Regions from separate parts of the Mus musculus genome. Here regions 2 and 3 are each reported to be linked to region 1. The links are microRNA targets in miRTarBase. Many come from high-throughput screens and were not tested one by one. Region 1 holds a microRNA gene; each other region holds the end of a gene's coding sequence. Distances are from middle to middle.
The links. Region 1 holds the annotated microRNA mmu-let-7b-5p (UGAGGUAGUAGGUUGUGUGGUU, at 5,314-5,335, shown strand). A microRNA usually pairs through its seed, bases 2 to 8, with sites in the 3' UTR of a target mRNA and lowers its output. Matches are read on the target gene's strand: a 7mer-m8 pairs with bases 2 to 8, a 7mer-A1 pairs with bases 2 to 7 and ends in A, and an 8mer does both.

Region 1 (7,443 bases):
AAACAGAGCCGAGTGCAGATCGGATCCAGCATGGGACCATCATGAGGTGTGTAAGGCTACAAGAGCCAGGTGGAAGGCATATCAATGCCAGCTCTGGGTGTGACCCTGCGTAACTGGTCCGTGCTTGGAAGAGGGCACCCAAGCCTGTCCAGCACTCTGCCACACACCTGCCAGAGCGTTCCAGTCTGAAGCCAGGGGAGACTCCGCAAAGCCCAGGTCATCTTCACTCAGATGTGATCTTTGTAGTGTCTAGGGGGCTTTTGCATTAACCATTTCTCTAAACCTCGCACAAAGTTACTTGTCTTGATGAATGAGATTCTTGTTCACCCCCTAACATGCCTGTCCTAGCTAGATCCAAGATGGTGCCCACTGGGCATGGCCTGCCCCCTGGCATGTCGACCCATGCCTACCCAGTGAGCGTGCATCTTTTTAACTTTATGGGCCTTGTTCACAAGGAGATCCGCCTTCTGCCCAGCCGGATGCCAACCCCCTCCCGCCGTTCCCAGACTCGCTGTTGGCACGGCCTACTGAGCAGAGACACTGGCCGCTTTATGGGAGAAACCTAATCAGGGAAGCCAAGAGAGGGGGGGTTACTGTGGGGGGGGGTCTGGCTCTTGGTGGCCCCAAGCCAAGCCTGAGGTGACTTCAGGGTGACACTGTCTGTCTGCCTCTCTCCCTCCAGACATCCGCCCAGCCCTGAAAGGGCCACCTGCCTGCCTAGGCCTTTGGCACACCTGTCCTGGCCAGCCTGGCTCCTCCCCCAGGCAGACACTGCAGGACTGGGACAGGACTGAGAGGTGGCGGCTGGCAGATGGCAGGGCGTCTGCTGACTGCTCACTCCCTGCCCGCCCCGCCACTGGCCCTCCTCCAGCCTGTCCCCACTGGGTCCCTGCAGTCTCTTTCAGGACCCCTTCCTTGTTACCCCTTGAGAAAGGAGTCATTTCTGTGGGTCCCAAGCCCCAGGCCCGAGGCCAGGCTGTTTCACAGGTGGGCTTGACACATCGGAACGCTTCCCAAATATGGAACTGGGCCTTTTCCTTCTCCTTCACAAATGGCTCTAGAGATGACCAGAGATCCAGTAAGGGTGACCCTCCCTGAAGTCTTGTGGAACCAGCGTAAGTCCCCCACAGGTAGAGTAGAGCTGCCCTGGAACTGAAGAGACCATGATAGCCATGCCTGCCACCAGAGTGTGGAGAGGCACTGTGAGAGGAATCGGCCTAAGACAGGCACCTGTGGGTCAGCCTCACCAGAGCAGAGCCAGCACCCCCCTGCCCCCCCCCCCCCCCCCGGGGAGCAGGAGCCTTGTGGAAAGAAACAGGAAAAACAGGTCAGCGGTTCCTGGCAGACGGACAGACCAGAGCAAAAGCCAGGAGGTGGGAAGGACCTGGGAGATGGCCAAGGAGGGCAGAGGAGGCTTGCCCAGGGCATTTCGAGGCTTTGTGGGTTGGGGGCAGGGCTGATGGGCGCAGTGGGAAGGATCCGAGAAAGGGTGTCAGCGTGACAGATAGCTCGGCTGTCTTGGGAGCCCATGCGAGGCTGGTAGTCAGGGAGGGGGCTTTCCCACCCTGTGTGTCCTCACCAGACCCTCAGTAGCCAATGGGCTCATCTTCCCATCCTTGAGTCGTGGTTGGGGGAGGGGGGTGTTAACAAGGCCTGCAACAAAGCACTCCGGCTTGACGGACAGAAGTGGGCAGATCCTTGTCTCCATATTCTGTACCCCAGGCTCAGCTCCAGAGCCCTTCAGCTGGCCAGGCTTCTCCCTCACTGTCCCCATGTCCCTGCTTGGCCTTCCTTCTGTCTTACTAATGGCTCTGCCATGATGATTTGGGCCCGAGGGAGGTAGGATAGTGACTTGATTCATGGTGTGAGTCTGTAGTCCAGTGAGCCCTTTCTCTGGGTCTCTGCTCTTTGGGAGAGTTCAAGCCCCATTTGCCCTATGTCCTAGGGAAGTTGCACGCGGGCCACTGGCCACCCACAAAAACACGCTTGCCCACCATGGGTGAAGTTGGAGCATAGTCTCTGACCCACATGCCCAGCACAGGGCTGAGCTTAGAGGCCGTTCCATCCAAGGCTTTGCATGCAAAGTGTCACCAGGCAAAAGGCAGACTGGATGAAAATGCCATTGTGCTATAGGATCTTAAGGAGTGGCCAGGGGAGGCCACCAGGGGCCAGGCTTTCTCCCTTCTGAAGTTGATGATCATTGCTTTTGTTTCTAACCCCCAAGGTGGTCAGGAAGTGGAACCAAGCAGGAAGTTCTGCATGCCTATGGCTTCCCTGTGGTAAGTAGGGCCCCAATGTCCTTCCTCTGGAAAGTAGGGAGACTTGAGAGTAAGGAAGGCTAGGGTCAGAGGCACATCCCTGCCAGTGCTCCAGGACCTGCCCTCAGCTTAGATGTCTTTACCTAGAGGCTTTGTGCTCCCCCCAACCCCTGCCCTCAGTATTGTGCCCCACCCCACCCCCCAGCAATCTACCCCAGATGACACATCTACCCATGATATGATATGGTGACTTTTGACCCCGTATCGGCCTACTTAGACTGGGCATGGCTTAACAGAGGTGCAGTTCCATTCATCACCAGCTCCAAGTGGAAGAGACGTAGCCTCCCAACCTGAGGACAAGGTCACCGAGCCCTGAGAGACCTCTGGGGACCTCAGCATGAGGTCCCTCTCTTTTCTCTGTACCCCGGGCACCATCACTTAATCCCCCCAGTGTGATCCTGCTTCCCCCAGGCCAGGCCACTTGGTATCAATGGAGGATCTGCCAGAAGGTCTTGCCTAGAGAAAGGCCAGATGAGGGAGACAGAGGCACATCTGTTCCCGTGTTGGGCTAAGGCACAGTGCGTGGTGGCCCACTGTCCTTGCTAGAACTAGGGTGCTTGTGTCCTGGTGTTTCTCTACCATAGCTTGGGCTCTGCAAGGCTTCTGTTGCAATGAAGCCCAGATTCAGGGAGGCTCACCAAGTGCAGAAAAGGCGCTTTGGGGCTGACACAGTGGCATACACCGGCCTCCTGCTGCTAAGTAGAGTGGCTGAGAATCCCCAGGGGCCAGCCAAAAGGACCCCACGGAAATGCATGATGGTGCCCAGAGTCAGAGGGGCCAGTCTCGACCTTCCAGCCAGACCTGCCCACGTACTTGTATCCTGACAGCCAAGGGCAGAACCCGAAGTGTTGAGAGACCTGGGGTTGATGTCTGACCTCTTTCCTCCTTCAAAGTGCTTCTGGGGGCGGAGAGGGGGAGGGAGGTGCTGGGCTCAGATGGAGATGACCAATGTGGTCTCTAGCTATTCCACCACATCCGGGCACAGCCTAAGAACCGACGAGATTAACCATGGCCAGTCAAGCCTACAGAGAGGCTAAGCAGTGTGGGACACCCCTCAGCCTTCTCACCTGGGCCACCCATCATAGATAGGATCACCAAAGGGGCCCTTCACCACTCTCTTCCCACGCCTCTTCTGCCTTGCTGCCTCTGCAGGGACCATCCTTGAGGGTATTTGACCTGCCTGTTAGTGAAAGGGTCCAGGCTTGAGGCAGGGGATGGCACCCCAGTGGCTCAGATTTCCTTCTGGGGCTTGGAAGATTAGTGTTTCCTATCATCACAGGCCTGCCCACCACGGGCCAGGCCACACCAGCGCTCTGGGAACCTTGTTCCTAAGCTCCTCTGCCCCATAGACTCCGGATCTGGGGCCACAATGTGGACTTAGACCTAACGGCTTCATTTTGACCCAGGAGTTTTGGACTTGTCCCTTGACCCTTGGCAGAGAGGAAAGGAGGCGTGACAGTAGACGCTAGGGCTCATGCAGAGAGCAAAAGCTGCCTGGCTTCCTAGGTCTGGGCACAGGGCTTCCCTCCACATGCTGGGCAAACCGGTCTGAGGCCTGAAAGAAGCAGGTCTTTTTCCCTTCTGAGAGCAGAGCTACCTGAGACCAGAGACTGAGCCTCAGTTTCTTCAGCGATCTCTGCTGGCCTCTGGAAGTGCTAGTCGTTAGGGACAGACTGGCCATGAGTGTCCAGCCAGGGTCTGCACTTGCGCCCGGCTGGCCACCATGGGGAGTTAGGCTGCCTCCCACAAGGAAAGACTGTTTTGAGCCTCCCCCAGCAAGGTCAGCTCAGGCCACCCTGAGAAGAGGGAGGGACAGAACCAGAGCCCACGAGGGGGGGGCTCTTCCTGCCTAAGGGGAAGAGGGTACATGCCCAAGGCTACTACTTAGCAGGAGTCCTGGTGATTCTACTACGCTAGAGTTGAGTGGACAGAGGCTGGGTCTCAGCCAGGTGGACACTGGAAGCACCCTGGACCTTGGTGGCCTTTAACAAATGACACCCTTCCCCCATTGTGGCCATTCCTGTGCTCAGTGCCCCGTGCTTTCTCTCTCTTCTCCCCGTTTCCCCGTCTCCCCGTCTCCCCTTACTCTCTCTGTGATTTTGTTTAAATGTCCCTGGCCCATTTTGAGAAAATCCCAGTCTATTAATACCCTCAGCACTGAGCGGCCTGTGTCGGGGGTGGGGGGTGGGGCTCACCATGTCCCCAGCTCTCCTTCTTCCTCTAGGAGGGACCTCAAGAAGCCACAACATCCAGCTCTACGCCAAGACTGACTGACGGCCTTTGGGGTGAGGTAGTAGGTTGTATGGTTTTGGGCTCTGCCCCGCTCTGCGGTAACTATACAATCTACTGTCTTTCCTGAAGTGGCCGCAATATCTGCAGTGGATACAACGGCGGCCCTGGCTGGGGAGACTGAGGGAGGGACAGGGGGGTGATAACTACCATGCAAAAAGAGCCTGACAGAGACCTTGGATAGTCCCTTGACCTCTCTGGGCTGTTACTCATCTGTATAAGGGTTGGGGCATAGCGATGAAAACAGACAGCATTTTCAGGGCACCTTCTCTCCCTGGCCCACACTGAAGGGGCCTTCCTGCCCCTGGCCCCATATCAGACCTGTGCTCACAGGTCTCCATGAAAAGAGGGTCTGGACTAGACCTTCAACTATGTTCCAGAGTTGCCCAGGCTTTCCAGCGCAGGGTCAGGCCTCTGACGAGCAAGCGTCTCTTCCGAGAAGAAATTGAAAAGGAGCCATTCTTAGCACACCCATGAGTACAGCCTGCAGATGGACCGTGTAGGCCACTGTCCCCTGTCCCTGGGGCAATGGGTTCAGACACCAGAGGCTTCCTCAATCTGTTTGGTAGGCACAGGCCTTTCTCACTGAACCTCTGTCTCCACTTCCCCCTCCCCCACCCCGCCCTGTGCCCTATGGCTCTAGTGGCCTGTGGCCAGGGTGGGTGGGGAGCGGCTGGGCCTCCTCCAGAACACGGACACCGCAGGGTGAGGTAGTAGGTTGTGTGGTTTCAGGGCAGTGATGTTGCCCCTCCGAAGATAACTATACAACCTACTGCCTTCCCTGAGGCGCCCAGGGACACAGCTACATGGAGGCCCCCGCTCAGCAAGCTAAATGGAGCCACAGATTGGGTGGGGGCTATGACGTGGGACCTGGGTATAAATAAAGGATGTTCTGTCATGAACTTACAACTGGTCTTTGGTCATTTTGGAAATACGGAGACTGGCCGTAGAGGACATGAGATCGCCAACCACACATTGACACGTTTGCATGCATGAAACATTGCCAGCAAGAGCTGCTCTGGGTAGTGAACAGTACCCTCCCCTCATCTTCCATGTGCCCCTTAGTGGCCCAAGCCCTGGACACCCAAGCCCCTCCACATGAGTGGAACAACAGACCCTATGACTCCAAGTCTCAGAGCACAGTACTGGCTTCCAGTGTCCCTCAGCCTGTGGTCCTAACCAGATCTGAGAAATTCCTGGCCTATTGTCCCTTCGTGCCTGCCTCCCTTGGGACAGTATTGGGACGGCTGTGGATGTAGCTTTCTAATCTTGGGCCAAATGGTCATATACCCTTCTTCCAGGGACCCCAAGCCTTCATTCAGGTGGTGGTAGTGGGGTGAGGGTCAGCCCTCAGCTAGTGTTAGCTTAGGAAGGTAAAGTCCTAGTCTTACCTGACCAGACACCAAAGGCCTCCCTCGTGGGTGGATACCTTGACCCTGATGTCCTGGCCTTCTCCCCATAATGAATCCCCCGAGTCCCAGCTCCCGTCCTGAACCCAATCTGCCTCAACTCTGCATATCCACACACCTCCATTGACGCACCTAGGCAGACCAAACACCCCTAGAGCCCCTCTATATCCACCCTCAGCTACCAGACCTCTCAAACTTAGCCAGCCATTTCCAAAGATCTGATACTGTGCTAGCCCCAGGGTTGAGAGTACCCAGAGGGACTCTCTGAGTACTCTCTGAGAGCAACAGGGATGGCTTCCCAAAGTAGGGGCTATCTGAGCTGGGTCTTGATGGCTGTATAGGAGTTGGCAGCTAGAGACACAGGAGTGGACACTCAGACACTCCGTGGCATGCCCCATTGTCTCCTCCCTGCTGTCCTTTGGAACATCGATGGTGGATGATAAATTGTCACCTTTTTACCTCTCTTTATCCTGTAGTCAGTGGTGAAGTCTGTTGACTCTTGCTATGCCTCCAGCCCTAGAGGAGTAGTCCTTCCTCCCCTCCCTTGTGCAGAGCTTTGCCCACTCTTCATCCCTTGCTGAATTAGTTAAGGTTTTACTGCTGTGAGCAGATGCCATGACCAAGGCAACTCCTATAAGGACAACATTTAATTGGGGCTGGCTTACAGGTTCAGAGGCTCAGTCCATTATCATCATGGCAGAAGAATACCATGACATAGGAAGAGCTGAGAGTTCTACATCTTGTTCCGAAGGCAAACAGGAGAAGACTGGCTTCCAGGGAGCTAGAGTGAGGGTCTTAAAACCCATATCCACAATGACATACTTCCCCTAACAAGGCCACACCTCCTAATAGTGCCACTCCCTGGACCAAGCATATACAAACCATCACACAGCCTACCTTCCATACTCTTCTGCACAGCCCAGCCCCCAACCCTTCACCCTCACACAGGCCCACCCTCTGGCTACCACAGCCAGCTGTGTCTGTGCAAGCAGAATGACATGCTGGCCAGTCACACCCACCTCCTGGCTCCTATGCTGCAGTGGGAGATGGCCTCTGCTCTGCAGAGTTCAAGTACTAGGGACACAGGACAGGACACACGGCGACCACCCAGTGGGGTAGCGTGGGAGCATCCGAGAGCTCTGAGGTGCTCTGCAGTCAGGGTAGCTTCCTGGAAGATGACCTCTGACATGTCCTGTGCCCCTCTCTACATTCTGTTGGCTCTTCTCTGACAACTGACTGTCACTAGAGATAGGGGTGCATGTGGGGATCAGGGTGGGTACGACACAGCATTCAGCAGAGTGGAAGTTCTGGGGTGCAGGGGAGTGGTTCAGCCCAGGGAGACCCTGTGCTCACTTCCCCACTTCCACAACCTACAAAGGAAGCAAAACACTTCCACTTAGAGGGTGGAGTCAGGATTCAAGGGCACC
Region 2 (7,221 bases), not on the chromosome of region 1:
GAACATAATCCTGTTCGCTGTTGGAAATTAGTGTTGGTGCCCAGAGCTTTCTGTCTGACATCACATTGCTACCATTGCCTAGCCTGGAGCAGGGTCTTGGGAAACCTTGAGCTAAATGGAAAGAGCTGAGGCTTGGGGCTGTGACATGGTTGAGAACGAACATTGGCCGTCAAAAATAGATTTGGGGTTTGAGGGTTTGTTTTATTTCTTGCTACACCAGGTAGAACCCAGGATGTCATGAAAGCGTGAGTCAGATGTGGGTTTGCTTTACTCGGCTGAGGGCTGTCTGAGTGGTGATGCAACACTTATTTTGTCTCTTTGAGCCTTGGCTTCAGTTTTGGTTTTTTTGTTTTTGTTATTCTGGTGGTAAGAGGATGAGACAGGATTTCATTCTGTAGACTAGGTTGGTTTTGTTCACAGCAGCCAGGAGGCTGGGATCACAGGCATGGCTCACCATGCCCAGCTGACTTGAGTAAATTGAAGCATTTGAAATGAGATCATGTCTAGGCGTGCTCAGTGGTGCCGATGTGCTGTGGAAACTGAGCAGACAGTGCAGAGACATCAGGTACAGGGCTGGCTGATCCTCCTGGGACCTTGTCATCAGACATGTATTGAATTTCAGAGAGCAGAATAGCAATGACGTGGGCTGGGGTGCAGCTCGGTAGTTGAGAGCGTGCATAGCAGGTGTGAGATCAAGTCCCATCATCAGCACCAAAGACAGACAAAGTGCCGATGCTTCCCATTGTGTAGTATCTTCAAGTCTAAGACAGCACTGTCATGGCCAGGTATACTAACATTTCCCAATTGACACACAGGAAAAGCTAGGCATGGGGCACCTTCCTGTAATCACAGTCCTTGGGATGCTGTAGCAGAAGATTGTCAGGAGTTCATGGCCAGCAACGTGGAGATGCACATCCTACCAGCGGTGTAGCTGCCAACCTGGGCAACATAACTACACCTTGTTTGAAAACAGAAAACAAAAATTGGCAATTTTCATGCTATGCAAGATAAATAGGTCAAGATCTGCTAGTTTCTGCCAGATGACAAGAGGCAGGCAGTTCTTATCTGAAGGATGCGTGGCTTTCAGAGCCTTTTGAGGTTTAATATTACAGTTAAGAGATTGCAGGCTTACTGTTTTGGGTTAAGTGGTATTTGTTTAATGTGGTTACTACTCCTTTTGGTTTCTCAGAGTGCATTTCCTCATCTACTACATCTCGTACACGAGACTCAGGTTGCTGTGAAGTTAGGAAGCTGTAGGCTCATCAGGAGTGCTGTGCTTGCTCAGGAGGCTGATCACCTCTCAGCCTCTTGGCTCCAATTGATGATAGAGTGTTTGAGGCCAGTTTGAACCATGCAGGGAGACCCTGTCTCAAAACACAGAAGGAAAGAGAAGAAAGCTGACACTCAGTGCCTGCTGAGGTCATTTTTGCTTATTCTCTCCCTTCCTGTCCTCACATTCCCCCACAAAACACCCAGGAGTCAGGATCTCAGCAGAGCAACATCTTTAGTGCTATGGAGACTGGAAAAAAAGAGGGAGGCACAGAAAGGGGGAGATTGGTACAGCTGTGGCCATCAGCCACCGAACATCCCAAGGAGGAAGTACCAATCCTTTCCCACCTGTGCATAATGGCACGTGCCTGTAATCTCCACAGAAGCAGGAGGATTTTAGATGGTAAGTCCTAGGCTAGCCTGGGCTACCTAGTGAAATGTTGTCTCAAGTAGTATCTGGGTCCTTGTCTGATAGTCCATTTATCTTGGTAATTGACAGAACTGGTCATTTGTAGGTGAATCTTGTTCCCCATGGTTCCTTGAAATACAGTTGACCTGTGTATGTCTCTTGAGTGCTGAGAGGCTTTGAGGAGTGAGGTGACACGTGAGGGTGGCTAGAGGCAGGCACTAGGCAGCCAGGCATGTTGAGTCACTGTCCTTCCTTTGTCAGCAGCATGCAGGTGCCGCCTCTCCATAGGCTGCCTGGTGACTCATAGCTAAGAGAATTGAAGCTGGTTTCTACCTTGCTGGGAAGGGCTGGCTAGAATTGAACAGCACGCTGCAGCCCCATGGCTGTGCTCAACAGTCACTGTACCCTGTGTGCGAGCACTGTGAGTTCTCTCTGACGCTGTGGGATTAGTGTTGCCCTGTCTGTACACTTTACATGCCGAGGCTGTCCTGTGCTGAGGGTAGGAGTCGGGTAAGTGTCGTGTCATGGACATACATCTCAAGCCCGTGACATTACTTCCTGTGTTCTCTGTAGAGCTGGTGGCGTTGAGATCTATAATGGGGATCGCAAGATAAAGGTTTCCAACACCCTGGAAAGCCGGCTGGACCTGATAGCCCAGCAGGTGAGTGCAGACTCTGGTTACGTGTCGGCTGGCACTTACTGCAGAGAACTCAACGCTGATCTTCATGTCTCCACATTTGTACACTGAACCCAAGGATACAAGCCTAAAGTGCTGGTCATCTTCCAGACATGGGTTAACAGTTTCTGTTGACTTTCTTAATCCCTTATTTAGGAGTATAGTTTCAACTGGGTGTGGTGGTGCATGCCTAGAGACAGGCAGATCTCTGTGAGTTCGAGGCCAGCCTGGTCTACAGAGTGAGTTTCAGGACAGCCAGGGCTACACAGAGAAACCCTGTCTAGAAAGAACAAAAACAAACATACAAATACAGAGTAGGTTAGCCAGATGTGGTAGCTGATTGGGAGACTGATGGAGGGTTACTGTGAGGCCGGTCTGAGCTGCAGGTTGGGACCCTGTCTCCCAGAGAGTGCAGTATGCTGAAATGAAAGTGCGTGTCTTGTAGCCAGAGCACTTGTGCATCATCTTCAGGAGGCCTAGAGCTAGTTAGCCCTCTGTGCTAGCCAGTCCTGCAGATGGGGAGTTAGCGGAGATGAGAGATAAATAGCTCAGTGAGTAAAGTTCTTGCCTCATAAGCTTGAGGAGCTGAGGTCTCCTGGGAGGCTTCATCCATCAGCAGCAGATGCAGAGACTCACAGGTAAACATCAGCAGGAGCTCAGGGAGTCTTGGGGGAGAGTGGGGTAGGGGTGAGCAAGCTGGAGGGGTCAAGAACACCACAAGACGACCCACAGAGTCAACTAACCTGAGACCATGAGGGCCAGAGTGTGGCCACCAACCAGGGAGCATGCAGGAGCTGGACAAATGTGCAGCTTGGTCTCCATGTGAGTCCCCTAACAAGTGGAGAGGGGACTGGCTGTCTTGGTCTCTGTTCCCTGCCATTGGACCCCTTTCCTCTACCTGGACTGCCTGGTTAGGTCTCAGTGGGAGAGGATGTGCCTAGTCCTCATGGGACTAGCTGTTCCAGGATGGGGTTCCTGTTCTCCAAAGAGAAGGGGAGAGGGCAATAGGAGGAGGGATCTGTAAGGGTAGGACGGGGGCGGGGGGCTGTGATTAGGATGTAAAGTTTATATAAATATATAGAAAAGGAAGGAAGGAAGGAGAGAGAGAAAGAAGCCACATAAAGTCAGGCATGGTGACATGTTTCTAGTTCCAGCCATGGGGAAGCAGATGCAGGAGGATTCTTTGGGCTCGTTGGCCATCTACCCTAGCTGAGTCATGCAAGCCCCAGACCAGTAAAAAGTGGATTGCTCCAAAGGAATGACATTTGTGGTTGTCCTCTGGCCTCTCTCGCACACATTCAGTTCTTTACCAGTACCTAAAGCTGTATTTGATGGAGCACAGTAAAGAAACTGCTGACATGACCCTTCCATGATAATGGTTAAGGCTTTTGTTGTAGAAACGAGAACAGCCAGAGGCATCTGGAAGAGTCCAGAACAGAAGGAGAAAGACGTAGACTGGACATGGTGAGGGCTAGCACAGTGGGTGAGAAGTTCCCATGGAGCTATCAAGGGAGACTGTACAGTGTGGGAGGACAGAAGAGATCTGTGAGAAAAGTGGGGCAGAAGGGAACAGATGGCTGTCTGGGAGCTGAGAAAGGCTAGGATGGCAGTGTGGGTTTGAAATGTGTAACAGCTACTTGGGATACTGAGGGAGCCTGGAGGCCTGCAGGGGCTTTGACACACAACCTATATCCCTTCTGCCAGAGTGGGAACTACTTTCACAAGATCCTGAGCAATGCTGGCTTTTATCAAACTTCCAGACCATTGGAGTGCCTGAGACCCCACAAAAGCCAATGTGGTTACTCTTAGGGGTCACACTCATCCTTGTAACTCTCTGTCAAGACATCAACAGACTCCATCTAAGTGCCCTTTGCAGCCAGTCCTGGAAGGGGTTCACACACTCAGTGTCACAGACTGAGTACAGTAATGACTTCAGGTCTTTCCCCTTTTGTGAGCATAGTCTGACTGCTTAACTGTCTGGCACAGTGCAGCAGATAGGACAGGTCTGATGTGCTTAGCAATGTCCTTTCCCCACATGGTGTTAATATTGTCTGCAACTTCCCTGACTGAGGTCCTGATTTACTGACTTCTTTACAGATGATGCCAGAAGTCCGTGGAGCCTTGTTTGGTGCAAATGCCAATAGGAAGTTTCTGGACTGAGCTTCAGGAGGAGCAGTTCCCCCACGGCTGTTCTCCTGGAGAAGCAGATTATCTGTGTGGCTTCCTCTTTCTGTTCTAATACTGGTAATCAGTGGACACCCTCTACAGCTAATGCCCTCGGCTCAGTGTCAACAGCAGGGCCACTTGGTGTGGGCAAGAACCCAGCCCCAGCTCATCTGAGGCCACAGCTGTTCACTGGGTTTGCAGCAGGACGGGAGGGTCAGATGTGCTGCACGGCCTCACCCAGGACCCATTCTTTCCCTGTCCTGCTCTAGTCTAGAGTGAGTTGTGCATGCTGTCCCTGCTCTTTGGGCATAAAGTGCATGTGGGACTCACATTCCTCCAGGAACACTACCTTCGCTGTTACTGTTTAGGTCTAGTCTTCCTTCTCTGTAAATGTGATTTAAAATCTAAGCCACAAATATTCTTTATTTATTAAAACAGAGGGCTTATGTGGATTTAGTTGTTGTTCCTTATGTAAGGCACCGAGTTTGTGATTTGAGAGTAAGTTCCACTGGGCACGGTAGCCCACACCTGTAGCCCTAGCTGTGGTGGGAGGATTGTTTGGGGGCAGCCTGGGCAACAGGAAGATCCAGAGAGGAGCTATCCCAAATCCCTGCCGTACATTAACCTGCCTGTCCTGGAGGCTGGACAGCTTTGTGTGTGTGTGTGTGTGTGTGTGTGTGTGTGTGTGTGTGTGTGTGTGTGTGTTAGCAGTGGGTGCCAGAGCCTCATAGGGAAGCAGATGCTGCACCGCTGAGCCATGCCCCGCAACCTGTGGCCTGTGCATCTTTGGGGTTTTACCTATCTTGTCTTAGAGAGAATAAGGCCGTTTTCAGATGGATTATCTGCATGTACATCGGCGTACTCCCCCAGACCCAAGTTTTACGTTAGGTGGGACTAATGGAGGTTCTTTTCAGTTTTGTAGTTTGGCAGGGTTGCATACAGTGTAGGCTGGCCTAGAATGTGCTCACTGATGTTATGACCTTCATGTTTCCTATCCTCCCGTCCTCAGCTACTAAGGACTGGGACTATAGGCACGGGCCACCATGGTGTTGGGGGTGGAATCCTTTGCTAACTGACCTGTGTACCCAGCTCTCATTCCTGTTTTCTTAGGGCCTAACATCATTTGTGTGGCTTCGGAGAAATGAATTGAGGGCCATGAGATTGGGTTTCTTGGTGTTGACATGGCCATGAAAGGTAGAAAGAGGTGAGAGTCAAGGGTAGGAACTGGAGCCAGCACCTGCTGCTCTTCCGGAGGACCTGAATTCAGTTCTTAGTGCCGTGTCTGGCAGCTCACTACCACCTGTAACACAGCTTTAGGAGGTCCAATGCTCTCTTGGGGGTTACAGATACACAGACATGTAAATTAGTAAATAATTATTTTTTAAAAGCTGAACTCTTTCAGTGTACAATTTCCCCCCAACCACTCTCCACTCTAGAACAGCAGTTGGAAGACAGTAATGAACTGTCTGTGGGGCCCAAGAAGGCACAGCTTGACTCTGCAGAATGACAGTCATCTGCTATGCTGATTACAGGACAAGGATTTAACCAGCTTTATTTCAGATCATGTCCCACAAGCATCTATTGGAAGGGATCTGGGCCCATACTTCAGGGTGAGTATCTGGGGCAGGACCGCTGCTGAGGTGGCCAGAATGTTCATTCAGGCTCTCAGACTATTGCTGATGCCCGCGAGGGCACAGGTGCACTTCTGATCTGTTAGGGCGGCAAGGTTAGGATTGACGCTAAACCCTCACAGGACGATTCTGTGCCACACTTGCCTGCAGTGGGGATGTTAGTGTGGAAGAGCCCTTCTGTCTTACTGCACACGGTCCTGCCATAGTACATAAGAGGTTGGGGCTTCCGAACATCTCTGGTTCAGAAAGTTTAGTTTTCATAAAGGAGATGAAGGCTCTACTCGCTTAGTAAAATGGGTCATTTCTTCTGAGGTAGCACTACAGGTTAGAGACCACGTACGTCAGAGCCAGCATCTTATACTTCCAGCAGTGCCACCTAGTTCCCTAGGGCCAGAGGTGACAGCAAGAAGTGACACATAGATTACTCAAAGCACTTCAAGATGCGCTCTCCGATGCCAATGAAGTAGACGCCCTGGGCGATCCCAAAGAGGGGGGCTATGACCAGGGCACGGCAGCCTGCTCCTTTCATGAAGGCTGCTGGCCCCTCCTGTGTCCAGAGCTTCCTGTGAAGGAAGAAAGGAGAGCTTGGTAGGTGAAGGCTACGCACACATTTACTCAGGACTTTCTGTTGTTGGATTTGGGGAGAAGGTCTCTAGGTGTAGCCCAGGCTCTCCCTGGGCTACCCTCAATCTCCTGAGTGCTAGGCTTATAGGATTACAAGCTCTGAGGCATCAAGTCCACAGCGTCTCCACACTTTGAGACAAAAGCTCACTAGTTCAGGCTGACCTGTGGCCCTCTCAAGTGCTAGGCCAAAGACTGGAGCCGTTAGATCCCATTTGGCCAAGTATCTGCGCGCCACCTTTAGACTGTATTGTGAGAGAGGAAGCTATTTAGCAATCCCAGATTTGTCTGCCATCTGGTGGGAGGAGTGGGGAGCAGCAGAGACTCATGGGAGAATCGGAAGCTCCCATTCTCTGTAGCATTCTCTGAGAATCGAGGGCCAACACATTCCAAGGCAGTGGCAAGTTCTGCCAGGAAGCGCATCTTGAGCTGGGTGGTGTCTGGGGTGC
Region 3 (7,221 bases), 17 Mb from region 1:
ACCACACCCGACCGTTCTTTTTTTTTTTTTAATTGGATATTTTCTTTATTTACATATCAAATGTTATCCCCCTTCCCTGGTTTCCCCTCCGGAAAAACACCCTCCCCCCACCCCGTACCCCCTACCCCTGCTCACCAACCCACCCACTCCCCTTCCTGGCCCTGGCATTCCCCCACACTGGGGCATAGAGCCTTCCTAGGACAAAGGGCCTCTCCTCCCATTGATGTCCCACAAGGCCATCCTATGCTACATATGCAGCTGGAGCCATGAGTCCCACCATGTGTGCTCTTTGGTTGATGGTTTAGTCCCAGAGAGCTCTGGGGGTACTGCCTAGTTTATATTGTTGTTCCTCCTATGGGGCTGCAGACTCCTTCAGCTCCTTGGGTACTTTCTCTAGCTCCTCCATTGGGGATCCTATGCTCAGTCCAATGGGTGGCTGTGAACATCCACCTCTGTATTCGTCAAGCACTGGCAGAGCCTCTCAGGAGACAGCTATTTCAGGCTCCTGTCAGCAAGCCTCCCTCCCATTGTTAAGATAGGGTCTTAAGTAATTCACAGCGGCTTCCAGCTTGCCACGTAGCCAAGGATGACCTTGAACTTCTGCTCTTCCTGCCTTCAGCTCCCAGGTGCTGGGATTGCAGGTGTATGCCACCATGCTCAGTTTATAGAGTTAGGGGTGGGGTTGGAGGTGGGGGTCAAGTCCGGGGCTTCCTGTGTATGTATGGCAAGCAGTCTGCCGACTGAGCTGCATCCCCGGCCCCTTGAACCAGAGTTTGGTTCTTTTTGTTTGTTTGTTTATTTGAGGCAGAGTCTCTCTAACTATCCCTGGCTGTATTACATACAACTCATTATGTAGACCAGGCTAGCTTTAAACTCACAGTTACGTACCTATCTCTGCCTCCTGAGTTCTGGGATCACAGGCATTTGACACAATGCCTAGCACAAACAAGCTTTAGCTTTCCTATCCACTGCGTGTTTCTGCTGTGTAGATGCTAAGGGAACAGTAACACAGTGTATGTCCCCTCTGAGACAGGAACTTACTAACATGAGACTGAGTTTCTCTTAGTGACTTAATCCTCTCTCTCCACAGTGTTTTTCTCGGACAGACCGATTACTCAGACACAAACGGATGTGCCAAGGATGCCAGTCCAAGACTTCTGAAGGGCAGTTTTCTCTATAGGCACAAGGGGCCCTAGGTGGTGGGAGTGCTGAGGAGAGTCTCTGGAAGAGCATAGCCCTGTGTTCTGACGGTCCCACCACCACTCCCTCTGAACCTGTCCCCCTTCCTAGAGGACCAGCCCCAGGTTAGCAGAAGAGCGTCTGAGGACATCGGCTCCAAAGCCCCAACTCTGTAACCAGTCTGAGGCTATGAGTATCCCAGGGACACCTGCAGCATTCTTGGGCAAGGGAGCTGGTCCTTGAACCTCAGCTGAGATGAGGTGGGGACTCAAAGGTGCAGGACCAAGACTGAAATGTTCCCACAACCTTGGACTGGAACTGGCAGCTAAAATGGAAAGGACCGGGGAGGGGTTTTTGTTGGTTCTGCTTTTGTTTTTGTTTATCCAAAAGCAATTTAAACAGGTAAACCGGGGATACAGGTAATGTGGAGGGGACAGTCCTGAAGCACATCAAGGACTGTGGCTGGCCTGGCCATGTCTGTCACCACAGTCCCTCGGTGTTCCACAGCCCGCCTATTTGAAAGCAAATAGGAAGGGGGCTGGCAGCTGGGCTTCCTTGGACTTCTTATACACTGTGAAGACAAAAGGAGAAACTGGGAAGGACAGACGTGGGCTGGACAAGAAGCGTAGGCATACCTTTTCTTATCTCCTCAAGAAGAGCGGTGTTGTGTCACGGGTGTTCCCATGGTTTGTGTGGCACTGGGGCCTGATGGGATCAGCTCAAGTGCCTTGTGGAGGACTTGGGTTCCGTAGCCCATTTGGCTCTTTTTTCTGGGAAGTTGGTCTTGGTTGTGGTTTGTGGCTACCTCGCTTGTCCTTGACTCTAGAACCCAGGCACAGTTGAGCAGGGGGTTGTGGGTATCAGAGTATGCTGTCCTTTTGTGTCCTCTTAGAACAAGGATAGTCCAAAGTTTTGTTAACTATGAGAAAAACAGAAATTGGGACAGTCCTTATGGGACTTGTGTGATGGAGCCCTCTCCCTGTCAGAATCCTCTGCCTGTTCAAGTAGAGGAGATGGAGGTCTGGTCTGGTCTGGTCTTCAGTCTCAGAGAACCGACCTTGGCTCCCTCCTGATAGCATCCCTGCAGAGTGGGGGGGGGGGGGTGCTTCAGAGGAAGGATTGCAGGAAGACACCTAATGTCTGCTTTATTCTTGACCTTACTCTGTTATAACACCCTTCTATCTTGTCTACCCCTGGAAAGGTGATTGGATTAGTGTGTGTGTCTGATTTGTGAATGCTTGTGTTTCTTTGCTTGGAAGGGGTGAAAATTGTTGACTGAAATTCATTCGGCCACCAACTTGGAGGACAGAAAAACGTAGGGCAGCCTTCCCACCCAGACCTGAAGGACGTCTGCCTCCCTTGTTCTTGCTGAGAACAGGGGAACAGAGGGGCTTGTTTCAGAAGAATGTTGAGGGTTTTTTCTCATTGTTGTTAGGTTGATTTAACCGTGTACTGATCAGAGTGTTTCTAAGCCAGGGCTTCTGAACATGTACTTTCTAAAGTGAGATAACTTCTGCTAAAGAAAGGATTCTTAAGGGAGACCTTGGGGTTTCATTGAGCACTCCAGGACCCCTGAGGCCTACTTCAGGTGTAATCTTTGGGTTACACCTGAGCACACAACTCCAGCTGTGGGTAGGAATCTGAGCTGGCCGCCTCCAGGAAGAAGTTTTGACTTGCAAATGAGAGCCAGGCAGCAACCTACCTTAAGACCTCTTCCAGTGTATTGGGAGATGGTCCACCACAACTTAAGGGGAGAAGGGAGAATGTCTCAGCCTTCAGTTTTCCTCTGATAGCACCTGAGAGGAGGTCTGAAGAGGACAGCCTGCCGTGTGTTCTGGCTCCCTGCTGTCCCTCTAACGTGCTGTAAAGCCTGCGCCTCTGACCTTCGTCCGCCGTGTGGCCCCTGGGCATCCATGTTCGTGATGCACAGACCCTTTGCTGTTAGAGGGTTCTGCTGGGCTGGGATTTTTCTGTCACTGGGAAAGAGGATACGCTGAGAAAGATATCCTCCCAGAAATGCTTTTGAAAGTGGAATCCCTCCCTGCCACTCGTAGATGATCTGTTCGTGCTGAAAGTTGGCAGAGTGGCCTGTGCCTCTGCAAGTATGAATGTGTTTCCTGGGTCAGAGCAGGCCCTGCAGACAGTGGCGTTCTGCCTAGGTGGGAGCTGAGAGAAGTGAGAGAGAACTGGATGTGTACAGACAGCCCACCCAGAACCACACTGCCAAGGCCAGGTGTGAGAGGCTCAGAAGCTGGCAGTGGGTAAGGACAGACAGGCTCTGGGGTGGAGAGTAATACAACAGCCAAGAGCCTGGGCAGAAGCCACATCTCTACCCTGGGGGAATGCACAGACAGCTGCAAAGGCTCCTGAGCCTGATGCCCCCCTCTGCTGGGGTGGGTTGTTAGCACTGGACAGATGTCTCAGGTGTGTGTAGAAGGGGAAATGAGAAGGTGGGTGCTCAGACATCAGAATGTGGATGTGGGTTTGGTAGGGAGAGTAATACCGGTCCTTGGATGGACTCCTGCACCAGGCCGTCCCATCCCACCCTTGCTGGTGCCTGCCCTTCCCATCCGTCCCTGACAGCCTCTTGTCATTTAGCTACTGATTGTACTTCATGGCTTGACATAGAGGGTTAGAGAAGTGGGGTGACCACACTTTGAGCCCTCTCCCCAGGTTCCTTCTGCCCCTGCTGTGGCCCTGGGCTTTTATCTTCAATTCCCCTCCTACCGTGCTCCATTTTTTTTTAAATATACTTATTTTGCTATGGGGGAGGGGAACTATCAAATGGACAAGATTACTTTTAATGTAGTTTTTATAAGATGTTATAAACTTGTATCTTTTTACCATTAAAGTGCAGTGTATGTTCCTTCGTGACATATTTAGGATATTTAAATAAAAAGGATGGCGCTTTTCTACATTCCATGTCCTCTTTGAGAAGACTTGATTTGTTGGGGAAGCTTTTTCTCCAAAGGCCAGAGTGGTCTCAGTGGGGTGGTTTTCCTCCCTCAGGACCCCACGGCTTGCAGCAGAGTCGACGGGCCCCGTTAAGACTTCTTTTCTCCAGAGGGAAGCATCAGGTAGAGGCAAAAGTCATTGATGCTAAAAAAAAAAAAAAAAAAAAAAAAAAAAGGGAGGGGACTCTCAACAGTCAGACATAATCAGGGCTGACTCCTGCTAGGCAGGGTCCCTTCGAAGGTGGTGCCTCTGGCTTCCAAGGCTCTGCCACTGGCTCAGGTGAGAGGCCTACATAGTCTGGTTTGTTGTTTGTTTCTGGTTTTGTCCCGGAGTGAAGTAAAGTAGAGGCTCAAAGTCTGGGGCAAAGCTTTATTATGGAAGGACCAGCCCTTCGTGTGGTGGGAATGGCTGCTGCCCTCTGAAGGTCACTCTGAAAAATCTCAGCGGTGGCAGCATCTTTGCCTGACAGACGCTGCCCTGCCCTTCTATCTCCACTGTCCTCCAAGACAAGAATCCTAAGTCAGTCTGCTTCCCTGGTCAGAGAGAGGGATGGCGACCGACCGTTTGTCCCTTGGAAGCGGGGGTTGACAGTGGTTGTGATCGCACTTTTGTAGAGAGGATTGTTGTCCTGTGGGAAAACATTGCACACAGTAAGGAAAACTATCAGGCTCTCCCCACTACCTGCCCCACGAGGCCAGATCTCCGAGGCCTGGTTATGCCGAGGGAGGGACTTGCACGGGGAAGCTTTAGAGCTGGTTATGTGTTAGGGATACAGAAAGTTAAGAGACGTCACCAGGAAAGCCCAGCCTGTGGCAGCAGTCGCTGGCCTCACCTGCTTCCAGTTGAGTTGCTGCTGCTCCTTCTCAAAGCGCCTGTACTCCCGTCGGTCGTAGATTTCCACAGAGAGCCGGTAAGCCAGAACCAGCCCTAGTCCCACTGCCACGATGCCCCCTGTGCAGCCCAGTATGATGGCACGGGTGTGATCCACTCCCTCTGGTGGGGCCAAGGTTTAAGGGCTGACCCACAGCTACCCAAAGGATGTCCAGCCTCCCCAGCCAGCCCTGTCATTGAGAACGGGACCCAGCAGAGCCCAAGGTTGTCCTCCCTCCTAGGGCCTTCATCTCATCTCTGCCTTTGCCCTAGGTTGGTGACTGTTTCAAACCCATTACCCTTATCTTTTTCACATCCCCAGTTCTGAGGTCCTGCCTGGTAAGCTCCACTTATCATATACATGGTGTCTCTGCCCACTTACTCTCTTGGGGTCTCACTCTCAGTACGATCCCGCTGGCTGCATGCTCCACCAGGAAGAAGAACAGCTGGTTGTCTATTGTCCTTTCTTTGCACCAGCCATCATCCAAGTTAGGGGCCAAGGTCAAGGTCACATTCACGTCAGCACAGACCACACTACAGTTGGCTGCCAGGGGACCGGTACCAAATGCCCCGCACTCTGCACAATCCCTGTCCGGTGAATGCCAGTCAGTGGATTCACATCTGGGCAGCTGTTACCCACCAGCCCTCACCACACACCCTCAAGGAGAACAGGCAGGTAGGAATTCCCAGCAAGCCTCCCTGCCCCAGATCCCGAGGTAAAGGGCGAGAGGCCTCACCTGTACTGCTCACATGGTGACTTGCAGCCTAGGCACTGGTCACACAGAGCCCCGTAGTAGCCATCCAGGCACTGGCAACGGTTGCATTTGCAGTATCCGTGCCCACTGCAGAGCCCTCCTTCAGGACTGACACAGCTGTCTACACTCTTGCTGCACTCGCAAGCTCTGCCGGTGTGGTTGGCGTGACAGTGACATACTCCACACTGGCAGTGGCCAAAGCCTAGGGAAGAACCGTGCAGAGGGTGACCACCATTCTCACACACAGTTGGCACAGTATGCCTCCACAGTCTGTGTCAGCTGTGCCAGGCACATCCTCTGGCTCAATACTATAGTCTTTGAAATTTGCTCTCAGAGTTGTAAGTGCCCTAGAAAACCCTCCTCCTCCGCCTCCCTCTTGTTCCCCCCTCTTTTCTCACCTTCCTACTCCCTTCTCCCCCTCCCTCCTCCTCTCTCTCCTTCCTCCTTACTCCCCCTCCTACCCCTCCCTGCTCTCCTTCCTTCTCCCTCCTCCCAAAGGCTCTAGGTACCTCCACAGAGGATGCCCTCATGTCGCTCACAGCTGGCATCATCACACTCGCACAGACGCCCAGAGCTCTGCCCACTGCAGCTGCAGCGTCCACATTGGCATCGACCCTTCCCGCTGCATAGGGGCCCTGTCCCGTTTGGGGCCCGGCAACCAGATTCCAAATCTGGGGAGGACAGGTCAGCCTCAGAGCATTCACACAGCTGACCAAGACGGCCAGGGGCACAGCTGGGAAGGGAAAGCAGAGAGATGGGTCAGAGTTTGATTACCTCTGACCTGTCTCTCAAGATATCCTAGGCCGGCAGTTTTCGACCTGTGGGTTGTGACCCTTTGGGAGTCAAGTGGCCCTTTCACAGGGGTCCCCTAAGACCATGGGAAAACAGAGATATTTACAATTCATAACAGTAACAAAATTACTGTTATAAAGTAGCAATGAAAATAATTTTATGGTTTGGGGTCACTAAAGCATGAACTGTATTGAAGGGTTGCAGTGTTAGGAAGGTTGAGAACCATTGCACTAAGGTCATGTTCTCAAGGGAGAAGGAGACAGAGCAGCTGAAACAAACTCAGATAGAAGTGTACCAAGGGTCAGGGTGGGGAGGGGGATTCAGGTCAAGGCGAAGGCCTTAGCATATATGGGAAGCTTTGGGGTATGACATTCAAGTAGATTCCTGAGATACCTAGGTGACTCCAGGAGGATAGAAAGCAGAGTTCATAAAACCCTCACCTGCATATCCCGCACTGAAGGTCCCCCTGTCCATCACTGCAGTAGGGAGCGTGAGGCTGGGCATCACCACAGTTACAGTCGCACACTGTGTGCAGCTCCACAGTTAACTCCTCTGAGAAGCCAAGAGCCCAGAGTCGTAGGACGTGGGCTTCTGGGAGGCAGTGAGTAGCTTGAAGAGTGACCCAGAAATCCACCTGAAGGCAGGAGGGCCAGACAAAGCTGTACACACC

Region 2: miRTarBase lists Slc25a18 as a target of mmu-let-7b-5p. Seed matches in the 3' UTR shown: 8mer at 6,460-6,467.
Region 3: the mRNA of Zfp740 is a reported target of mmu-let-7b-5p. Seed matches in the 3' UTR shown: 7mer-m8 at 1,981-1,987.

The regions. Positions count from the first base shown.
Region 1 is chr15:85,702,012-85,709,454 of GRCm38, forward strand. It overlaps Mirlet7b (microRNA let7b), which reads left to right and starts at 5,308; the gene lies at 5,308-5,392. Lncppara (long noncoding RNA near Ppara) reads left to right here and starts at 1,762. Exons shown (of 2, transcript NR_110483.1): 1 at 1,762-2,279; 2 at 4,543-5,513. It overlaps Mirlet7c-2 (microRNA let7c-2), which reads left to right and starts at 4,592; the gene lies at 4,592-4,686. Gm34622 (a long non-coding RNA gene) reads right to left here. Exons shown (of 3, transcript XR_384306.3): 3 at 6,860-7,443.
Region 2 is chr6:120,792,995-120,800,215 of GRCm38, reverse strand. It overlaps Slc25a18 (solute carrier family 25 (mitochondrial carrier), member 18), which reads right to left. Exons shown (of 10, transcript NM_001081048.2): 10 at 6,234-6,714. The coding sequence ends at 6,573. Atp6v1e1 (ATPase, H+ transporting, lysosomal V1 subunit E1) reads left to right here. Exons shown (of 9, transcript NM_007510.3): 8 at 2,252-2,339; 9 at 4,452-4,972. The coding sequence ends at 4,514. Among named protein-coding and RNA genes, the nearest start is that of Slc25a18, 23 kb to the right of the region's middle.
Region 3 is chr15:102,211,506-102,218,726 of GRCm38, forward strand. Zfp740 (zinc finger protein 740) reads left to right here. Exons shown (of 8, transcript NM_001289691.1): 8 at 1,091-4,105. The coding sequence ends at 1,180. It overlaps Itgb7 (integrin beta 7), which reads right to left. Exons shown (of 15, transcript NM_013566.2): 10 at 6,992-7,185; 11 at 6,269-6,492; 12 at 5,742-5,961; 13 at 5,387-5,592; 14 at 4,967-5,127; 15 at 4,490-4,762. The coding sequence ends at 4,655. Among named protein-coding and RNA genes, the nearest start is that of Csad, 10 kb to the left of the region's middle.